Anolis sagrei: one gene and its partner. The protein of the gene in region 2 interacts with the protein of the main gene of each other region in a biochemical or structural test. Links are inferred from orthologs where the notes say so. Each region holds a gene or a part of one and is shown on either strand. Other genes may lie near its edges.

Evidence for each region. The genes of interacting proteins can lie anywhere in the genome.
Region 1: the proteins of NGF (region 2) and NGFR form a complex in vitro, tested with the Homo sapiens proteins (2 studies listed by BioGRID and IntAct, with this or other methods). The link is inferred for Anolis sagrei from reciprocal best matches to the Homo sapiens genes NGF and NGFR.

What each region holds. Positions count from the first base shown.
Region 1 is NC_090026.1:32,149,126-32,159,376, reverse strand, and holds the start of NGFR (tumor necrosis factor receptor superfamily member 16), read left to right. Parts: upstream 1-5,363; 5' UTR 5,364-5,678; coding exon 5,679-5,756; intron 5,757-10,251. UniProt on the Homo sapiens protein: Low affinity receptor which can bind to NGF, BDNF, NTF3, and NTF4. Forms a heterodimeric receptor with SORCS2 that binds the precursor forms of NGF, BDNF and NTF3 with high affinity, and has much lower affinity for mature NGF and BDNF.
Region 2 is NC_090024.1:203,800,875-203,811,133, forward strand, and holds the start of NGF (beta-nerve growth factor), read right to left. Parts: upstream 5,334-10,259; 5' UTR 4,796-5,333; intron 1-4,795. UniProt on the Homo sapiens protein: Nerve growth factor is important for the development and maintenance of the sympathetic and sensory nervous systems.

The DNA.
Region 1 (10,251 bases), on a different chromosome or scaffold from region 2:
TCAGGTAGTTGGGTCTATAAACAATATGTGTTATTAATACTCACATACAGTTTGTCAACTGGAAACATCAGGCTTGTAAGCTACTTACTCACTTATCACTTGATAAGTAAGTAGCATGTGTGTGTGTGTGTATAAATATAGCTATGACTTTTACCTCAGCCACATTGTTTTATGATGTTGTCTTGACTGTATTTTGTTTTATTATTATACTTGATTGGTTTCAATGCATTGTATTTTATCTGTGATTTTTGGGCTTGTGTCCTTTGTTTGGTTATTTCCAGTTGCTAAACCTTTTTGGATTATATATATTTCTTATTCTGGTTTTTATATGCTTTTTATATGTTTTTACAATAATCAGTTTGCTTGTATTCCTAGACTCTTGTGTGGTGCAGTGGTCATAGATGTTTCCAGACCTGGAGTGCAACACCAAAGGCAAATTCTTTAAACTATAGCCATTTAAAAGATGCTTCTGATGTGTATTTGTATTTTTTTTAAGATATACTTTATTTCATCCATCATCAGCCCTAGGTTTAGAGAAGATTTATCAATGTAAGAGGGAACTTCCTGAGTAAATGGTCAAGCTGGTATTCATTATTAAAGCCATCAGAAATTTAATGAGCAACTAGAGAGTCCACTGCAGCCAAATCATACTCCAGCGTGCTGCTGAAGTGCTACAGCCAGCATCTCCTGTCTCTCCAGAATTGCTTTGGGTAAAATACAGAAGTTATGGTGTTTGAAAATGTCTTTCTTTAAACAAGTAGGCAATGTAGTCTTTCATGGCCACAGGACTGGAACTGAGATGGCAGATGCTTTCATGAACGAAAGAGGCAAGGCAGGCCAGGCCAAATCCAGTTAGCTCTGAGCTTGCGCATAAAAGAAGGATAATTTTGTTGAGTAAGACAATAAGACCTTTGTTTCTGTTATTATTGATCTTATAGAGGACGCAGAAAGGAGTTGTCTGAGATCAGGCAAGAGAAAAACATCTTGAAAATGCTCAGACTAAAACAAAGTGGTTTAAAAATAGGGCTGGACTAGCCATTAAGCAGCATGAACCAACTGCTTCAGGCAACAGTTTTTAAAAGGAGACTCCTTTTCCTGAGTTTTCTCCATCAGTGTGCAATTGTACATACTTCAGAGCATTTCGACTTTTGAAAATTCAAGTTCAAAAACATTTTTAACATATAGAAAGGGCTATGCTTTCCTGTATACGTGTCATTTCAAGTTGCCTGCTGACTTGGTGGTGACCCAAGAATTGCCTAGGGTTTTCGTAGGCTGAAAAATTGTCTACTGACATTTGTTGGCAGTCTCCTGTCACCAGGGCTGAATCTGATTCTCTTCCAAGATCAGATGGGCGCATTTAGAGCATTTAGGCCACCCCTTTTGGCATCTATCTTGACCATATTATGCCTCTGTTAATTTACAATATTGTTCTGACATGTTATATTATGCAGGGCAAGGAAGGTGGTGCTTGAGGGTGGAAAATCCCAATGGATGTTCCCTCCCACTGCTGACCTTTTACTGACATTCCAGCAACTGGTCCAGCCCATGAATAGAGAGGGCAAATGCAGTGCAGGGGAGCTGTATGAAGTTTGTTCAGAAGAACATCCCAGCAACTTGAGCCTCATAGGTCAAATTTGTCTGCTTTCCACACCATCTGCCTTCACAATACCACCCATGAAGGAGATGTTGTCTTATCTCCTGGTAGAATGGGCTCTCTTATGAAATAATCTGGGATGTAGGGCAGGGTGTATAAAACAATGGAAGATTGAACTTTGGCTAAGTCTATGGTCATCACTCTGGTCAATTTTCCTTCCTTTTCAAGCATTCCCTATTTTGGTCTTCATTTTTCCCTCAGCTAGAAGAGAGCCAATGATGAAGACAGTGACAATTGATGCTGTTTATGGACAAGTGAATCCGCTCTGGAATTTTGTCTATATATCTATTTTGGAACAGGGTGTTGTATCTTGGTTAGCTCATGCAAATTTCAAACTAAAAGCCAGAGCAGATTTACATATGCACAAGCTCCAACAAGGAATCCACTAGCTAGTGGTTCCCAACTTGTGGTCCTTGCACCACTAGTGGTCCTCAAGAACAAAAAATATGGTCCACAGCCTCACCATTACTACACCATTGCAACGAGAGCAACTGGCCTCGCGAAAACCTCTTATAGTACCGAGGCTTATTAAATATGGTTTTCTGTGGGTGAGCAGATGGTGACTACTGGATGGCATATGTTCTGTATCAGAAACTAGAGCTGATATGGTCTATCCAATGCAACCTTTTGAATCAGCACCCCAAATAACCAAACCGAATCTAAGTTGACCAAAAACTGATTTGTAACCCTTTTGGTAGTAATGTTGGAGAGTGGTCCCTGGTCAAAGTGGTTCCTGTTCAAGTGGTCCCTTGTCAAGTGGTGCCTGTTTAGGTGGTCCCTGGTCAAATGGTCCCTGGTTAAAGTGTCCCTGGTTCAAGTTGTCCCTGGTCAAAGTGGTCCCTGGTCAAGTGGTCCCTAGTCAAAGTGATTCCTGGTCAAGTAGTCCCTGTTCAAGTGGTCCATGGCCAAAGTGGTCTTTTGTTCAAGTGGTCCCTGGTCAAGTGGTTTCTGGTCAAGTATTTAAAACATTTATATTCCGCCCTTCTCACCCCAAAGGGGACTCAGGGCGGAGCATATATATGGAAAACATTCAATGCCAGAACAATAATTAATTGTATGCATACATAAACATTCAAAACATTTATCTTGATATTTTCTTTACCCATGCCTGTCTAATGCTAAGAGAATATGACTTGCCCATGGTCACCTCATGAATTTTTATGGGCGACTTCAGCTCTCCAGATTTGGGAGTCCCACATGCAAACTACTATCTTGAGGAATTACCAAGCCACCTAAGGCCACCCGTAAGTTGCTATGATTGAGTTTAGATTCAAACGCTGGTCTCCAGATTCATTGTCCAAACACTCAGACTCCCTTTACACTGCTATATAATCCACATGATCTGCTTTGAACTGGATTATATGAGCCTACACTGCCATATAATCCAGTTCAAAGCAGATAATCTGGATCTTATATGGCAGGTAGAAGGAGCTTAGTTGGCTTCTATTTTGCATATCCTTCAGAAATCGGGTGTCCTAACAAATTTGTGAACATCCTGCGGCTCCTCCATGATGACATGATGGCAACAGTCTTGGACAGCAATGGTTCCCAAAGTGACCCATTTAAGGTGGAATCAGGTGTCAAACAGGGATGTATTATTGCCCCAACTTTATTCTCCATCTTCATTGCTATGATGCTTCACCTTGTTGACTGGAAGTTTCCCACCAGAGTGGAAATCATCTATAGGACAGATGGCAAGCTATTTAACCTCAGCAGCCAGAAAGCCAAAACTAAGGTCACAACACCATCTGTTATAGAATTCCAGTATGCTGATGACAACATCATCTGTGCGCAATCAAAAGAAGATCTACAAGCCACTCTATACACCTTCACAGAAGCATACGAGAAGCTTGGCATGTCATTGAACATCGAGAAAACCAAAGTGCTCTTCCAGCAGTCACCAGCCAATCCCTCTCCAATGCCAGAAATACAGCTTAATGGTGTGACATTAGAAAACGTTGACAATTTCCTCTCCCTTGGCAGCTACCTCTCCACAAAAGTCAACATTGACACCGAAATACGACACCGCCTGAACTCTGTGAATGCAGCTTTTTCTGAATGAAGCAGAGAGTGTTTGAGGACCAGGACATTTGTAGGGATACCAAGGTTCTTGTTTAGGGTTAGGGTTAGGGTTAGGGTTAGCGGCCGACAAGGCACTCTGGCATGGGCTGGTCCATGGGGTCACAAATAGTCGAAAACTATTGATTGAATGAACAACAACAAACTCAAAGAAGCTACCTAAGTTTGCTGGGTGAATAAGGTTCAGTCCCTTTTGAAAATGTCTTTAAATGTTAGACTAAAATCCTGATTGAATCACTACCATACTGAAATGGAATTCATCAGCCAGAACTGAGATGCAGTGAGGAAAAAAACCCCTATTATTCCAATTAGTGCAGGAGTCTGGACAAAGTCAGGAGTGAGAGCTAAAGAGCAACAAGGATCAGGGGAAAGTCAAGAGGCAGGACCAGAGAACAAGACAATGCTTGTTTCAGTTGGTTTTGTTAAAGGAATTATCCAAGGTGCTAAACCTATTTGGATTCACCAAAATAGATTTAGCACCTATGATCCAGACGTTTTCCAGCTTTCCAAGACCTAAATGACGTGTGGAATGGGGGAGATGATCGCAAATTGTGCCTTCTGGAGATCCCTGAAGACAAAATTCTCTATTTTTGGCTAGAAAACTTTAGTTTGCGCATATGGAAGGCAGAAAGACAGGGGCAATGAAGGGATCCTGTGAGAGCATATTATTAGACTAGATAACCCATTATTGTTGTGTGCTTTCAGTTTTTCTCCAACTTATGTCGACTCTATCATAGAATTTTCTTGGCAAGATTTATTCACAGGAAGGTTGCTTTTGCCTCTGCTGAAGCTGAGAGAGTGTGACTTCCTTAAGATCATCCAGTGGGTCTCTGTGGCTGAATGGTGATTCGAACCCTAGTCTTCAGATTCATAGTCTACTCCGAACTCAAGAACGGAGAACGGAATGTTGGTGGGCAGGAAAAGAGATTTAAAGATGGGCTCAAAGCCAACCTTAAAAACTCCGGCATAGACACTGAGAACTGGGAAGCCCTGGCCCTTGAGTGCTCCAGCTGGAGGTCAGCTGTGACCAGCAGTGCTGCAGAATTTGAAGAGGCACGAATGGAGGGCGAAAAAGAGAAGCATGCCAAGAGGAAGGTGCATCAAGCCAACCCTGCGGAAGAAGATGCAGATCAAGAATAGAGCTCCACAGTCACCTACGGATCTACTGCCAGTACACCAATCTTGGAAGACTATCCTACTTGGACAATGAGGGATCGCCTAAGAAACGTAAGGAAAAGTAGCATCTCCATAATGCAGGATCTTGAAGAGGGGACTCAAATTTCCACAGGAAATTCATTCTCCTTATATACAGGCAAATATTTACGGTATTTTTTAATCATTTTGCCCATTAAACAAAGTGTGTCCCTTGGACCATCTATAAGCAAAGGCATCACTCTTTCAGCCAACCATGCTGGAGCATTTCAGCTCTGGGAGAGTGCGTTTGAAGCGACTTCCACACCTTGATAGAGTTCCCCACCTTTGAGAATGAACCTTTGGGAGAATTTTAGAAGATAATATGGGAGTCCGTTGAAAATGCAAGGCAAGGCGGGTGCCTTTTTCGGCGGCGTGCTCGCCTTGGGGAAGCTTTGGCTGACGAGGAGAAAAGGGGAGGCGCTCCCCGCTCTCCGTGGCGTGGATTTGAAGCCACCCAGCCAGTGGGAGGAGAGCATTGATCGCTTTAATAATCATCATAACAGTAATCGGAATAATACAAAAAAAGGGGGCTGAGCTTCCCAGTTACAGAAAGCAGGTGCTGTCCGGGCTGCCTCTCAGTTTCAGCAACTGCTGGAAAGGCGGCGGCGGCAGCGGGCTCCGGGCTCCGAGGCGCCCCCAAAGCGCTCTACCGGGGCATGTAGAGGAAGAGTCCCGCCTCGGCTTCTTCTCTAGCCTTCGTCCTCCTCCTCTTCTTCTTCCTCCCCTCGGCTTCCCTCGGGGAACCACGACCATGGAGCAGGAAAAGAAGCCGCACCAGCAGCACCGGCACCGGATCGCGCTCCTCCTGGGCTTCTTGCTGCTGGCCGCGGTGAGTGGAAACGGGCCCGAGCGGCACCCACGGTCTACCCTATCCAAAGTCTACCCTTTTCTCCCTCCTGAAGGGGAAAGGAGAGAAGTAGGGAGCGAGTCTCAAAGGGGCGCAAATCCCCATTTCTGAGTGGTTTGTTGTGGGAGGCTTGCACTATTGCTTTGGAAAGCCCTGCGGGGGAATGATGGGTTTTTTTAAGGGAGTTTGTTGTTGTTTCTCCTCCTCTTCTTTTTCTACTTCTCTTCCTTCTCCCTCTAACACCACTACTTCTTCTTCTCCCTCTTCCTCCTCCCTCTACCACTACTATTAGTACTACTACTGCTTCTTCTCTTCCCTCTCCTCTCTCCTTCTTCCTCCTCCTTCCATCACCACCACCGTTGATGCTACTTCTCCACCACCTTTCTCCTCCTCCTAACTCTACTAACCCAATTTCTTCTCTTCTGCTTCTTCCTCCTCCCCTCCTCTACTTCCTCACTCTACCTCTACTTCTTCCTTCCTTCCTCTTCCTCCTCCTCCTCCTCCTCCTCCTCTACCACCCGTTTCTTCTGCTGCTGCTTCCTCCTCCTCCACCTCTTCTTCTTATCCCCTCCCCTCTTCCTCCTCTTCCTCTCCTCCTCGTAACTAGCATCCGTTTCTTCTGCTGCTTCTTCCTCCTCCTCACTCTACCTCTTCTTATCCCCTCCCCTCCTCCTCCTCTTCTTCCTCCTCTTTCTCTCCTCCTAACTCTACCACCCGTTTCTTCTGCTCCTTCCTCCTCCTCCTAACTCTACCACCCGTTTCTTCTGCTTCTTCTTCTTCCTCCTCCTCTTCACTTACTTCTTCTTATCCCCTCCCCTCTTCCTCCTCTTCCTCTCCTCCTAATTCAGCCACCCGTTTCTTCTGCTCTCTCTTCTTCTTCCTCCTCACTCTACCTCTTCTTCTTATCCCCTCCCCTCTTCCTTTTCCTCCTCTTCCTCTTCTTCTAACTCTACCACCCGTTTCTTCTGCTCTCTTCTTCATCCTCCTCCTCCTCACTCTACCTCTTTTTACCCCCTCTTCCTCCTCATTCTACCAACCGTTTCTTCTGCTGCTTCTTCCTCCTCCTCACTCTACCTCTTCTTCTTATCCTCTCCCCTCTTCCTCTCCTCCTCCTAACTCTGCCACCCCTCATTCTTCTGCTTCTTCCTCCTCCCCCTTCTCCTCTGTCTCTTTCTACCACCAGTTTGTTGCTTCTCTTCCTCCTCCTCCTCCTTCTAAGTCTACCACCAGTTTCTTGTCTCTGTTTTCTCCTCCTCCTCACTGCCTCTTCTTCTTTCTCCTCCTCCTCTCCACCTAACTGTCACCCGTTTCTTCTTCTTCTTCTTCTTCTTCTTCTTCTTCTTCTTCTTCTTCTTCTTCTTCTTCTTCTTCTTCCTCCTCCTCTTCCTCACTTTACCATTTCTTCTTCTACCCCCCCCCCCTTCTTCTCCCTCCTCTGCCTTTCTTCTTTCTCCTCCTTCTTGGATGCCAGAGCGCTCCAGGACGTGGTTGGCTCCTGGGTCATGAGTCCGTTTTGGGGTGTGTGGGTATCCTGGGTGAACTTTTTTGTGGGAAGTGAGGTTAAGGGGAGTGACGAGTCCTTCTCCCCTACTCAGGTTCCCCATGAGAAAGAGTGAGAGGAAGCGGGGAGGGGGGAGAGGAGGGGGATTTTGATGCGCCCCAAGACTGTCTATTCCTTCCAAACCAGTGCGGATGGTCCAGGAGGGGCGAAGGGTGGATGGGTGGGTCTTCCCGAGAACAACAACATGAAGAAGAGGGCATCACCACGCCTCCCACTTCTATATAATGGCATCCTTCCTCGGAGACACTATAAGGCTTGAGAGACCGGAGGGAAGGGCTGGGGAGAGTTGCCTTTGAGGCTCTCACTTCCTTAGCAATACTTGGATGCTGCTGTTTCCTACCAATGCTGGCACCAAAGTGAATCTCTAACAGGGCTTTCTTGGCAAGATTTCTTCAGAGGCTTCCTCTGAGGCTGAGAGAGTGTGCCTTGTCCAAGGTCATCCAGTGGGTTTCTAAGACTGAGTAGGGATTTCAAATCTGGTCTCCAGGGTCACCCTTCAAGCCAGGACACCACACTTTTAGCAGCAATACCAGGCAGATTTTTGAATATATTGTAATACAATGACATTTGTAATATTATAGCCTGCCTCTGTCATATTGGTTATCCCTACTAAGCAGTTGACCAAGCTGTTGATTGACCAGAGAGCAGTGAAGCAAATCTAATTGCTTTAATGGGTCTCTTCTAGCAGCAACTATTGTGCTTCCCTTTAAGGCAGGGGAAATATTGTGAGCTGGAGTTACAATCTGGGGCAAAAAAGTGAATGGAGATATTTTTTTAAAAAAACAGCTTCTATTTGAAAATGTCAAAGTGTGCCAGGGCTTGTGGGAGGGATGTATTTATGACTACAGTCCTTACACTTACTCTGGTCCCATTGTATTCAAAGGATTTTACTTTAGAGTAAATGTGTTAACAGATTGCTCTACAATATTTTGAAAATCCCAGCAAGAACTGGGAAAGGTGCTCTAGGGACTGAGGAATGGATCCAAAAATGTATCAAGGGAAAGAGTCTTTAATGCTCATGTTTGATATCTACCGATATTATAAATACAGTGTGATGCTGGACTTTGGACCCTGGGAATCAGGGTTCGAATCCTGCTCAGCCATGGAAACCCATTGGATGACCTTACAGCACTCACACCCTCTCAGTGTCAGAGAAAGGCAATGTTACCCACCCCCAGACAAATCATGCCAAGAAAAGCCTGGGATAAGTCTGTTTTAGAGTTGCCATAAATTGGAAATGACTCAAAGGCACACAAGAAGGAGAAGAATATACTGTGGACAGCATCACACTAGAGAATGAACCCACTTTAAATCTGGTTTCTGCCTTCTACAGAATTCTGAGCTTTGTAGTTTAGTGAGGTGTTAAAGGCTCCTCCCTAAACTACAAACCCCACAATTCGGCAGGAGGCAGCCACTGTATTTAAAGTGGATTCATCCTCTAGTGTGATGAAGTAGGGTTTTTTTTTAATGCAGAAGCATTACTTCAACCCTTAATTGTGATTATAAGATATCAGCATCACCATCACCATCTTCATCATTGCTATTGTGGAGCCCCCTTGTGCTGGCAGGTCAGCCATTCAAATCTGAGGAGTGGGGTGAGCTCCCACCTGTCAGCTCTAGCTTCTCATGCAGAACATGAGAGAAGCTTCCCACAGGTTGGTAACACATCCAGGCGTCCCTTGGACAACGTCCTTGCAGATGGTCAATTCTCTCACACCTGAAGCAACTTGCAATTTCTCAAGTCGCTCCTGAAAAATTGCTATTGTGTCAGTATCATTGTGGGATGCAAGGGAGAACAGGATGGTTACCCTATTAGAGGAAGTGTAAAGGTATTCATTATCTATAATGCAAGTGGAGACCAAATTCTTACCCATATTTCTTTTCCTTTCCGATAGATAAAGCAGGGTATACATAATAATAGCCACTCAACAACACTGTTTTTTGATTGGTTTAACCTTGATTAATTTGCAAGTGAGGCTAAACAGAGGACCTCGAATTTGTGCCCATAACTCTAGGCACACCCTAGGGCAGTTTGGCAGTAAAGAAAATCTATATATGATCAGAGGCTGCCTTTCCTTTGTTCCTATCACCTTCCTTTTTCTGGATAGTTAATATGAAAAACAAATGTCTAAGGTTAAGGCTTTGCTTAAATTAACATTGTTTGAAGGAAACAATGTAGAGGGATGTCACAGTAAGAGATGGGCCATGGGTTATGGGGATGATAGGCATTTGGGTTTGAATAGTTGAATGCAAGAAGCAGATGTCAGGACTTTACCACAAGATCTGGCATTATGGCAGGTATTTGAGAGGGAAGTCTTAGTTTCTATAACCAGGCATCTTTCTTAACATTATACTAAGAGTTCGGTAGAAATCAGGCAAAGAATTGGAAAACTTCGTTCTTGGATTACAGCTCTCAGAATCCTCCAATCCAGAAAGTCACTGGGTGTAAGAATCTGTGGGTTATAGCCTCAAGTTCATGGCTATGATGATGGGGGAATCTGGAAACTGTAATTCACAAAGTGACATTTCCAAGCTGTGATTCAGTTCTGGTATCCATTTTAAGGGTGCATTCTGAGGTGAATTAAATAGTCTTCACATGCTCACAAGCTGAGAATGTTTTGAGCATGTGAAGAGAATGTGTGCCAAATTTTTTTGTACCTCATAAACACAAGCAAGCCATACTAGGAACTCGGAGAAGAGTTTCTAATATGTGTACTTATATTTTGTTTTAAATATATATTTAAAACTCATACCACTGAGCTATGAATATCCAGAGCATCCTAGAGTCAGCTGCATAAAGTTTTCAAAATTATTCAACTGTGGTGGCGGCAGAGTAGAACAAGGCAAGAATAGAAAAAATGGATATGAATGACTTAGACCAGGGGTCCTCAAACTTTTTGAACAGAGGGCCAGGTG
Region 2 (10,259 bases):
AAGATGAGACCAAACACAATACATATAGTACAGTCTAATTAAATGATTGTTGTATGAAACAAGTTTGGTATTGTTGAAACATTTTGGTTTAGATAGTGGACCTTTAGTATCTACAGAGCTTTGGTTCTTGTAGACACAAAAATTCATGGATACTCAAATCCCTTGATATGCAGCAGCATAGCAAAATGCTGTCCCTTAATTAGAATGGCAAAATCAAGGTTTCCTCTTCAGAATTTTTTTAATACATATTTTCAATCTGTGGGTAGCGGAATCCATGGGTGCAGAATCCATGGATACAGAAAGCTGCCTATATTCACATCTTTCTACACTGTAATATATTGTTTCCAGTAAAGCAGTTTAGTACTGGGGAAGCTAACATTTGACAAGTTCTTACCACAAATGCTCATAACTTACTGGCTCTTGCTGAATTTTTATTATTATTCTAATTATAGGGGAGATAACCACAGTTGCTACTATCAAGTCCAGATCTCGCATCCATAGGCAACAGCGAACAAGTCATTTTGGTGAAGAGGTCTGCCATATGCTCTCTAGTTCATAGCTGTGGTTAAAGTTCTTGCTGCTTTGGTTATCTACCATTTCCATGGACAGCATTTGCAATTGATGGGTGGTCTCCTATTTCTATGAAAGTCCAGTTGTTCATATTGAACAAACCAAGGCAGAGTTAAACTGAGTAAGCACCATGAATTTCAAGGCAATGGAAAGCACATACAGGAGTGTTGTATCTCTCTTTTAATTCACAAACAACTTAATTGTGTAATTCTTTTGTTTCTTGATAATCATACAAAGGCTGGAGTGGGGGAGACCCAAAAGCCCCACTTGTCTTTCTGTAGATTAATTAATTCCAGACGATGAACGGTTTAATGTTTAACCTATAACAGAGTCAACTGTTTCCATCTGAAATGCCAGAATGAAATGTGGCACAATTTCCCGACCCTGAAATTTTGTTGTATTATTAAAATTACTCCTCCACTCTGCAGACAAAATCAGGAGGGTTTTCTGGCATACAGCATAAAACAAAAAATCTTATCTGTAAAGAATCTGCCTCGCAGTTCCACACAAAACCTAAGAACACATCTGGAGAGATTTTTTAAAAAATAATGTTTATAAAAAAAAACTCCAGCTCAATCCCTATAAGTGCATTTATTCAGAAGCAAACCTCATTAATGTCAATGCAACTTATTTCTGGGTATGTTTACTTAGCATTTTGTAACTTTCTTTAATGGAGGTTATTAAACCAATCAGGGACAATTCATGTTTATCAGATTACTGCACTCAGCGTGTATTTGCTAGATTGGAATTGCCAGCAGAGGTCCCCATTGCTTTAAATGGAATGATACCTTTTTTTCCAAAAAAATCAGAAAAATGGAAAGTGGTGGTTTGGAGCTCTGGGAAAGACACTACATCATCCTCCCAACCACAAACTGAACCAATGATGTGACAGAATCTGTAAGTTTTGTTTGATGACATTTGAGCAACATTTCCCCCCTCAATTGGGGGTTGGAAGGACTAAATACATTAGTGCTAACAAGACAGTACATTTCAGCTCTTAAACTGAAAATAATGAATATGTACAGGAATCTTGAAAGAAACATTGCTTCTTTTGAAAGCAACACAACATAATTTTGATGTCTACTGAGTGATTACAAACTGATATCAAAGTATTAGTTCGCAAATGGACATGCCACTTGCCTAGTTTCCAACAGACCTCAGGATGCCTGCCAATGTGGGTGAAACGTCAGGAGAGAATGTTTCGGGAACCTTGCCATACAGCCCAGAAAATTCACAGCAAACCATTATCAAAGTAATTTTTATCCCATTAAGCAGACAACACCATTCTAATTTGTGCCTTCATTTTGTTCCATAAAAGAAAGGTAACATCAACACAGAACGAGGCTAGATTTTTTGAATCTAAACTCTGACAATGTAATGCATATATGAAATACTCCTTCTTTAAAACTGGGACTGGCTCTGTAGGCCATAAAAGCATTTTTATGGGGCGATGAAAAATCCTTGAGCTCCTGGCAATGTTTTAAATGAATCTGAAATCAATTCACCAAGAAGAGGCGGCAGCAGCAGCAGGTGAATGCTGTTAAGCAAAACTGTGAACTCGGAGCTGATCTAGTGCTGGGATGGAGTAATGAGCAGCCGTCAACATGACTTCTACCATGAAACAGATTCTGTCCCTTTAGGGCGAGTTCCCTGCATTTCTGAAGTTGTTGAATAATCATTATCCCAATTCCACATACCCCTTTGAAAGTGACTATATCGCTGAGCAATGTCTCCAGATGTTCCTTGGATTGTTAAGCAGTGATTCAGAAAGTGGAGATTACGGTCCCCGTTCTCTTCGCCAAGGCATGTGTCTCATCTAACTCATCTGGCCCCTGGCACTTATTTATCCTGGTTTAAGATCTTTCAGATAATACTTCCATGGACCATCATGATGTGATTTTACTACAGTCTATAGATTTCATTTCACTGCAGCACTCTATCTATGCAATGACACAGAAAGGTCATCACGGTTGAATCATTTAATTATGAAGTTGTATTGTCAAAAGCTTTCATGTCCGGAATCACTAGGTTGTTGTGAGTTTTCCAGACTGTATGGCTATGTTCCAGAAGCATTCTCTCCTGACATTTTGCCTGCATCTATGACAGGCATCCTCAGAGGTTCTGGAGTCTGTTGGAAATTAGGAAAATGATGCAGGCAAAATGCCAGGAGAGAATGCTTCTGGAACATGGCCATACAGCCCGGAAAACTCACAACAATCCAATTATGAAGTTGTTGACCAAACAGAAGACATCACTGAAACCAGGTGGCTTTAATGCATCTGCACAAGTGAAGCTGTCAGGAGGAGTTTAAGAACAAATCTCTAAGAACAAAAACAACCAGGATCTCAAAGTTTTAGCAACTTCTCAGGTCAACAGAAGAGACTTTGTTACTGGGATTCACACAAGAAATCATACACAGAGCCTTAGTTCATACCACAAAAGGTTTTCCACCAGTACCCTCTGATGTCTGCAAACTTTCCTAGTTCCAACACTGCAGAAAAGCACATAGCAAACAAGCACACTCTTATTTAGGCATTTGTTCTTAAAATTCCAAATATTCTGAGAAAACATGGAAATGCTCTGAGGTTCAGTGGAAGGAGAAATAATGCCACCAATTTCCAACAAACTGCAAATTCAAAACTCTTCTTATCCTTCCCCCTCCCTTTCAACTCTTTCAACCACTGTCTGGTGTCAAACACACTCACTCACACACAGAGCCCAGTCCTGAAGCATAAATCAATGAATACCATCCGTTTCCATCCTGCCCCTGCTAGGCAGACAGCGAGGAGTTCATTGCTTGAGGGATAAAAGAGGGAGAATCAACTGATTTAGAAATGCAGTGTCTATTGCTGTCTTAAAAACTGTAAAGGAGAGGAGGAAAGAGTGGCAATCTTGCACTGACTTACAGCAGAAGGTCACATTCATGCGTGGTGTTTCATACTAATGGCATCAATATGGGCTTCTCGTGCCCTTGGTTTTTGGAAAACGAACCCTGCACTTAGCAAAGGCCTGCTGCAAATCTATTTATGTTATTTATTTACTGTATTTATATCCCGCTTTTCTTATCCCTGGGGGGACTCAAAGTGGTTTACAACAAACCTACCCTCCAGACTCCCCTCCTGGAGCTATTAATAGAGGCTGCGGGACTTTTTAACCAGGGATTTTTGCCTGGATCTACACTGCCAGATATTGCAATTTGGATATTGCATTATAGCGTCAGTATAGACCAGGGATGGGCAAACTTGGGCCCTCCAGGTGTTTCAAGCCCATTCGTTTTGATGACCTGTAATATTGGAAACAGCCCCTGAAGAACCTGCTCCTTGGCTCCAAAGCCACCACTTCTGTTGGCTTTTGGATCTTCTTGGGAATGGGGCTTGGAAGTTGAAACAGGGCCATTTGCAGAAATTGCATGTTCAGTGGCGTGAATCCAGTTTCTCTTTGGGTTGCCAAGATGAAAGTGGGCCCAACTTTAGCTCCCATCGGCTGTTAGGAATTAAGGGAGTTAAGGTCCAGAACACATGGAAGGCTGATTATGGGTGGTGTAGACCCATATAATGCAGTTTAACTGCATGCAACTACAGTAGAGTCTTGCTTGCCCAACATAAATGGGCCGGAACAATGCTGGATAAGCGAAAATGTTGGATAATAAGGAGGGATTAAGCAAAAGCCTATATAATGCCAAATTATGTTCTGATTTTACAAATTAAGCACCAAAACATGTTTTATAACAAATTGACAGAAGAAGCAGTTCAGTACATGATACGTTTTCTAGTAATTACTATATTTACGAATTTAGCAGCAAAACATTGCAATGTATTGAAACAGCTGTGGATCAGGGCAGGAAGCAGACTACATTGGATAATACAGAATGTTGGATGAGGGAAGGTTGGATAAGCGAGACTCTACTGTATATAGATCCTACACTAACGCCATAATGTAGTTCCCAACTGTATTGTCTGTACCTTAGACAGAAAAGGAGCAATTTCCCAAGGGTGGCTTAGGGCCCCAAGGAGAGGCTTGGCACTCCTGGGATGTGTGGTCTGGAATCTCTGAAAGGCGAAAGACAGCCCCGAGCCAGTTCAAGGGCAGTTCAAGTGTTGCCCATTCAACGGCATTCATTCGACTACAGTACAGAAGAGGCGCCCTTGGAGTTTGCCCGGGGGCACAAGTCGCCCAGGCTGTGCTGGTCCCACTCCCTCCCTCCCTCGCTCACTCACTCACTCACCTCCGGCGGGCAGGTGGAGAGAGATCCCCTTCAGGAGGAGCTGGTGCCGGTGCTGCTCTCTTCTCCGTGGCCGCCCCGCTTTCCGCGAACCCTCGAGCCGCTCCCCCGGCGCCCGCGAGCCATCCACTTCGCCACCGCGCGCCCCAGCCTCATCCACCGCGCGCTGCCCTTCGACTCCGACGGCGCTCCTCGGACGGATGGTCGGACGGTAGGTCGGTCGGACTGACTCACGCAGCCCCGGGGGCGCTCTCCCTCGGCCTCCCGCTCGCGCTCCGCCTGGGTCCTAGCGCCATCAAAGCCGAGGAGCGAGCTGCCCAGACTCGCGCGGGAAGATTCCCCCGAGGGCCGCTCACTCGCTCGTTCACTCACTCACTCCTTCCTTCGCTGGCCGGCTCTGACTGAGTGAGTCCCAGGGAAGGCGCGCGGGACACGTCGCGGGAGAGAAAGAAGAGCGCCTGCCTCTCTCTGCCGCCTCCTCCTCCCGCCCGCCCCGCTTTCATACCGGGCGAGGGGCCCCGGCTCCTGTCTCCTGAGGAGGGACAGCAGCCGCCCACGGGGCTTCCCCGACGCCTCGAGGTCCACCCACCCAGCCGTCCACGCCCATCGTGCCTGACCTGGCACCAGGTCTTCGCTTATCCGCAACAAGCTCCGGACACCAGGACTGTCTGGTTGAAATCGCCTACGAGGGCATCTAGACCAGGCTTGAGCAAACTTGGGCTCTCCGGGTGTTTTGGACTTCAACTCCCACCATTCCTAACAGGTTTAAGCTTAAGCATCTAGGGGGAAAAGGAAGGGGCCTGTGACTGTTAGGAATGGTGGGAGTTGAAGTCCAAAACACCCGGAGGGCCCAAGTTTGCCCAAGCCTGATCTACACTGTCGGATGAATGCAATTTAACCCCACTTTCATTGCCATGACGATGTGTTCTATACCATTACATTTCACAAAGTCTTTCTCCTTCTCTGGTGGCTCACCCAACTAAAATCCAGTAGCAAGGAGCCATGGCAGCTGACCTCTGGTCAAACTGCCTTCCTTCTACAAGGTATACAGTATACATACATGTGCCTTCAATTGGTCTTTGGGAGCCCCAGTGGCACAATGGGTTAAACCCTTGTGCCAGGAGAACTGATGACCAACAGGTCAGTAGTTCGAATCTGGGGAGAGTGGGTAGAGCTTCCTCTGTCAGCTCCAGCTCCTCATGCGGGGACATGAGGGAAGGCTCCCACAAGGATGCTAAAACATCAAAACATCCAGGCACCCCCTGGGCAATGTCCTTCCAGACAGCCAATTCTCTCACACCACAAACAACTTGCAGTTTCTCAAGTCATGCTTGACATGGAAAAAACATATATGGTATTTGGAAGAAACAGTGTACTTCCTCAAGGGTTTCAAGCCCATTCGTTTTGGTGATCTGTAACACTGAAAACAACCCTTAAAGAATCTGCTCCTTGTTGGCAGCCTCCCCCCAAGAAGCAGCCCCCACACCAAGGTACAAAGCCACCACCTTTGTTTGCTTTTGGATCTTCTTGGGAAGAAATTTGAATTCGAAACAGGGCTATTTGCAGAAATGACATATTCAGTGGAGTCAATCCAGTTTCTCTTTGGGTTGCCAAGATCAAACTGGACCCAAATACCCTAAGGCATCAGTTCCCCAAAATTTCATTTCCTACAGAACCATTATTGCTGCTATCTCCAGTTTTCATCCTTGGGGGGGGGGGGGGCACAGCACTGCCAATGGTGAAACACTCCCTTGTTGCTCCCTCACTCTGTGCCACACTGTCTTCCTCCTGCAGCATCACGGAGGGGAAAAAGTGAGGGACAGAGGCCAAGCAAGTACTAGTAAGGAAGATGGGGTGGGGGGTGAAATACAGGACAATCCCCTCCAATATCCATGGTGGGTATGTTCCTGTGAATGTTAGAGATGCTGAAAAGAAGTGGTAGTTTGTACAGGAGGCCGAAGTGAACAAGTGAAATCATGGAAACGACATGTATCAATTTTAAGGATACTATGCCTATAGAAATCACACTTTAGTGGTGTAATAAGATCTAAGTCATTTCTATTCTTGCCATTCATTGATTTGCTGGAGGAAGAAGAGCACTGGACATTGTGAATTGTGCTGCTTCTTTTCCTCATTGCCTGACAACCACCCTTTTTGCTTGATCGCCTTCCCTTTTAACTCACCACATCTCCTGCACATCCTCATTTATCTGTTTCCTTACATGGTACCACCAAACACACTTTCCATCCTCAACTCCTTTCTTTTTCTAAAGTTCCCTTGTACTTCTCCCTCATTTTCTTTTCTCCTGCCTCATTGGCTGAGTTATTATCATAACCAGGCATCCTCTAGCTGTTTAGCCTGCAGAAGAGAAGGGTGAGAGAAGACATGATAACCATTTATAAATATGTGAAGGGAAGTCATAGGAAGGAGGGAGCAAGCTTTTTTTCTGCTGCCTGGAGACTAGGACATGGAGCAATGGCTTCAAACTACAAGAAAGGAGATTCCATCTGAACATTAGGAAGAACTTCCTAACTGTGAGAGCCGTTCAGCAGCGGAACTCTCTGCCCCGGAGTGTGGCAGAGGCTCCTTCTTTGGAGGCATTTAAACAGAGGCTGGATGGCGATCTGTCAGGAGTGCTTTGAATGTGATTTTCCTGCTTTTTGGCAGGGGGTTGGACTGCATGGCCATGAGGTCTCTTCCAACTTTATGATTCTATGAGTCTAAGCCGTAGCCAGCTTGTTCAATAGTCAAGAATTCTGGGAGCTAGAGACACAAACAGCTGGAGTGAGGGTTGTAGTTTGAGGGTGCCTGACCTTAACTTTCTACTACCTCCTCCTCTTCTATCATCCTTCTTCATATCCTGCTGCTGCACCATGTGCCAATATTTCTATGTAAGAATAGATGGCATAGGCAGCCAAACTGAAAGGCAAGAGAGGGAGTCAAAATATTTGTGTGCTGGAAGGAAAGCAGGGTGAAAGAGGAAGGGTAATGCAGGGAAATGGTAATAATGGGATTATCAGTAGTGGCACAGTTTTCAGTAGGAGATATTGGACTACCACTGTCAGAAAAGCAATTGAGTGCCAACTGAGAATTCTCTGTTTGAATGTTGAATTAGATGATCAAGCAAACTTCTGATAAAAAACTTAAAAGGGTGACATGTAAACAGTTATAATAAATATTGTTACTTTTGGGAGACTGGGACTCTGTACTGTGCAACCAATATAATAGTAACAAGCTGACGTTAAAAAGCTGGGACATTATATTAATTTATAATGTCAAAATAATTTTTTTCCACAAATTGCTAATCACCATCAGCAAGCCAAGATACATAGATTATAAATCCATACTTTCTAGAATAAATTTATTTATTTATTTACTATATTTTCTTCTCAGCCCTGGGGCAACTCAGAGCGGTTAACAATAGCAAAATGCAATGCTCAAAAAATCATAAAACAGTTATAAACAATTAAAACAATAGCATAATAAACAGTCAATATAAGTCAATTAAACATCTCATTAGCGTCTCATAGTTAAAATCAAGATCCAGTCTCATAATCCAATTGTTCCATATTCCTATGTTCGTTACACTGCCTATTCAAATGCCTGCTCGAACAACCAGGTCTTCACTTTCCTCCGAAATGTCAACAGGGAGGAGGGTGATCTAATATCTGTAGGGAGGGCGTTGCACAGCTGAGGGGCCACCACTGAGAAGGCCCTGTCCCTCGTCCCCGCCAAACATACTTGTGACGCTGGCGGGACCGAGAGCAGGGCCTCCCCAGACGATTTTAACACCCTAGCTGGTTCAGAGGAGACGGTGAGTTCAGACAGGTAAGTTAGGCCAGAACCGTTTAGGGCTTTATAGGCTAAAGCTAGCACTTTGAATTGTGCCCGGTAGCAAACTTGCCTTAGTTTGGCAGGATTCTCCTTCTTCTGGTTTCAAAATATTGAAAAAGAAACTCAGTGCACTTTAGGCATAAGAGAAAGCAAAGAACCCTCTGCAAAAGCTATGCCAGGGTAAACCAATGATGCCTATGCCTGTCAATAACAGAGTGGTATATATAAGTAATAGCAAATTGCACAATTCATCAATAACAAGGCATAAGAGAAAGCAAAGAACCCTCTGTGAAAGTTCATGCCAGGGTAAACCAATTATGCCTACGCCTGTCAATTACAGAGTGGTATGCATAAGTAATAGCATATTGCACAATTAATCAATAACAAGGCAATAAATTATTCTTTACAGTGTTCTTTACAGAGCTCACAACTAAAGTGTGAAAGGTATACATGCCTGGCCTGGACATTACTCACATACTGAGTGCAGCAGACACTTAGGTCACCCTTCCATAAAGCTTAATGGCTATTCCTTAGATTTTGCCTAAATATGCTTATTGTAAACATACAGGGAAATGAAGTACTCATCTCTATATATGTCTGCCCAATGACAGAGCCTGCCAGAAGGGATCTCTTATGTATCCCATTGATATGATCAATGCTGTGTGAGGCTTTCTCATTTGTAATATGCCACTTGTGGAATGCCTTTACCTGGTGCCAATTAAAACTTTATATAGGTGCCATATATCAACATGACTAATATAAGAAGCATTTGGGGAGTAAGTGACTCACTCTAAGATACTTAGGCACTAGGTTTTAGACTGTTCTAACCTGTTAAACCTATTTTCAAGATGATTAAGCTCTTTTAAAATGTATTGTAATTATTTTATAGTTTTGAAGTGTTTAACTTGCTTATATTGCCTCAAGACTGCATCACGCCAAGTGAAATATAATGAGGTTGCGATTGCTAATGATAACCCTTTCCAAATGAGGATGTGCTGTCTCCATGTGGGTGTATTGTCTTATTGTTACATAGTGCCTATACATACTGTACAAGTGCCTTCAAGAAAGTGTGGTAATGGTTGGTTGGTTGGTTAATTAATTGCTTGCAACAGTCATAGTTTTTATTTTCTCTAAGAAGGTCAAAGTAGCCTTGTGAAGAAAATCAAGCTCAAGGTGCGGGAGAGCTCCATCTTCATCTAATAATCTAACCCAAGGGGTCCTCAAACCTTTTAAACAGAGGGCCAGGTCACAGTCCCTCAAACTGTTGGAGGATCGGATTATAATTTGAAAAAAACATGAATGAATTCCTATGCATACTGCACATATCTTATTTGTAGTGCAAAAACCACATGAAAACAATATAATAATTAAAATGAAGAACAATTTTAACAAATATACACTTATTAGTATTTCCATGGGAAGTGTGGGCCTGATTTTGGCTGATGAGATAGGATGGTTGTTGTTGTTGTGTGCTTTCAAGTCATTTCAGACTAAGGTTGACTCTGAGCGAGGGCCGGGTAAATGACCTTGGAGGGCCGTATCCGGCCCCCAGGCCATAGTTTGAGGACCCCTGGTCTAACCTATATACCATGCTAGTTTCCGCCCTAAAGTGATAATGATGGGTCCCTCTATA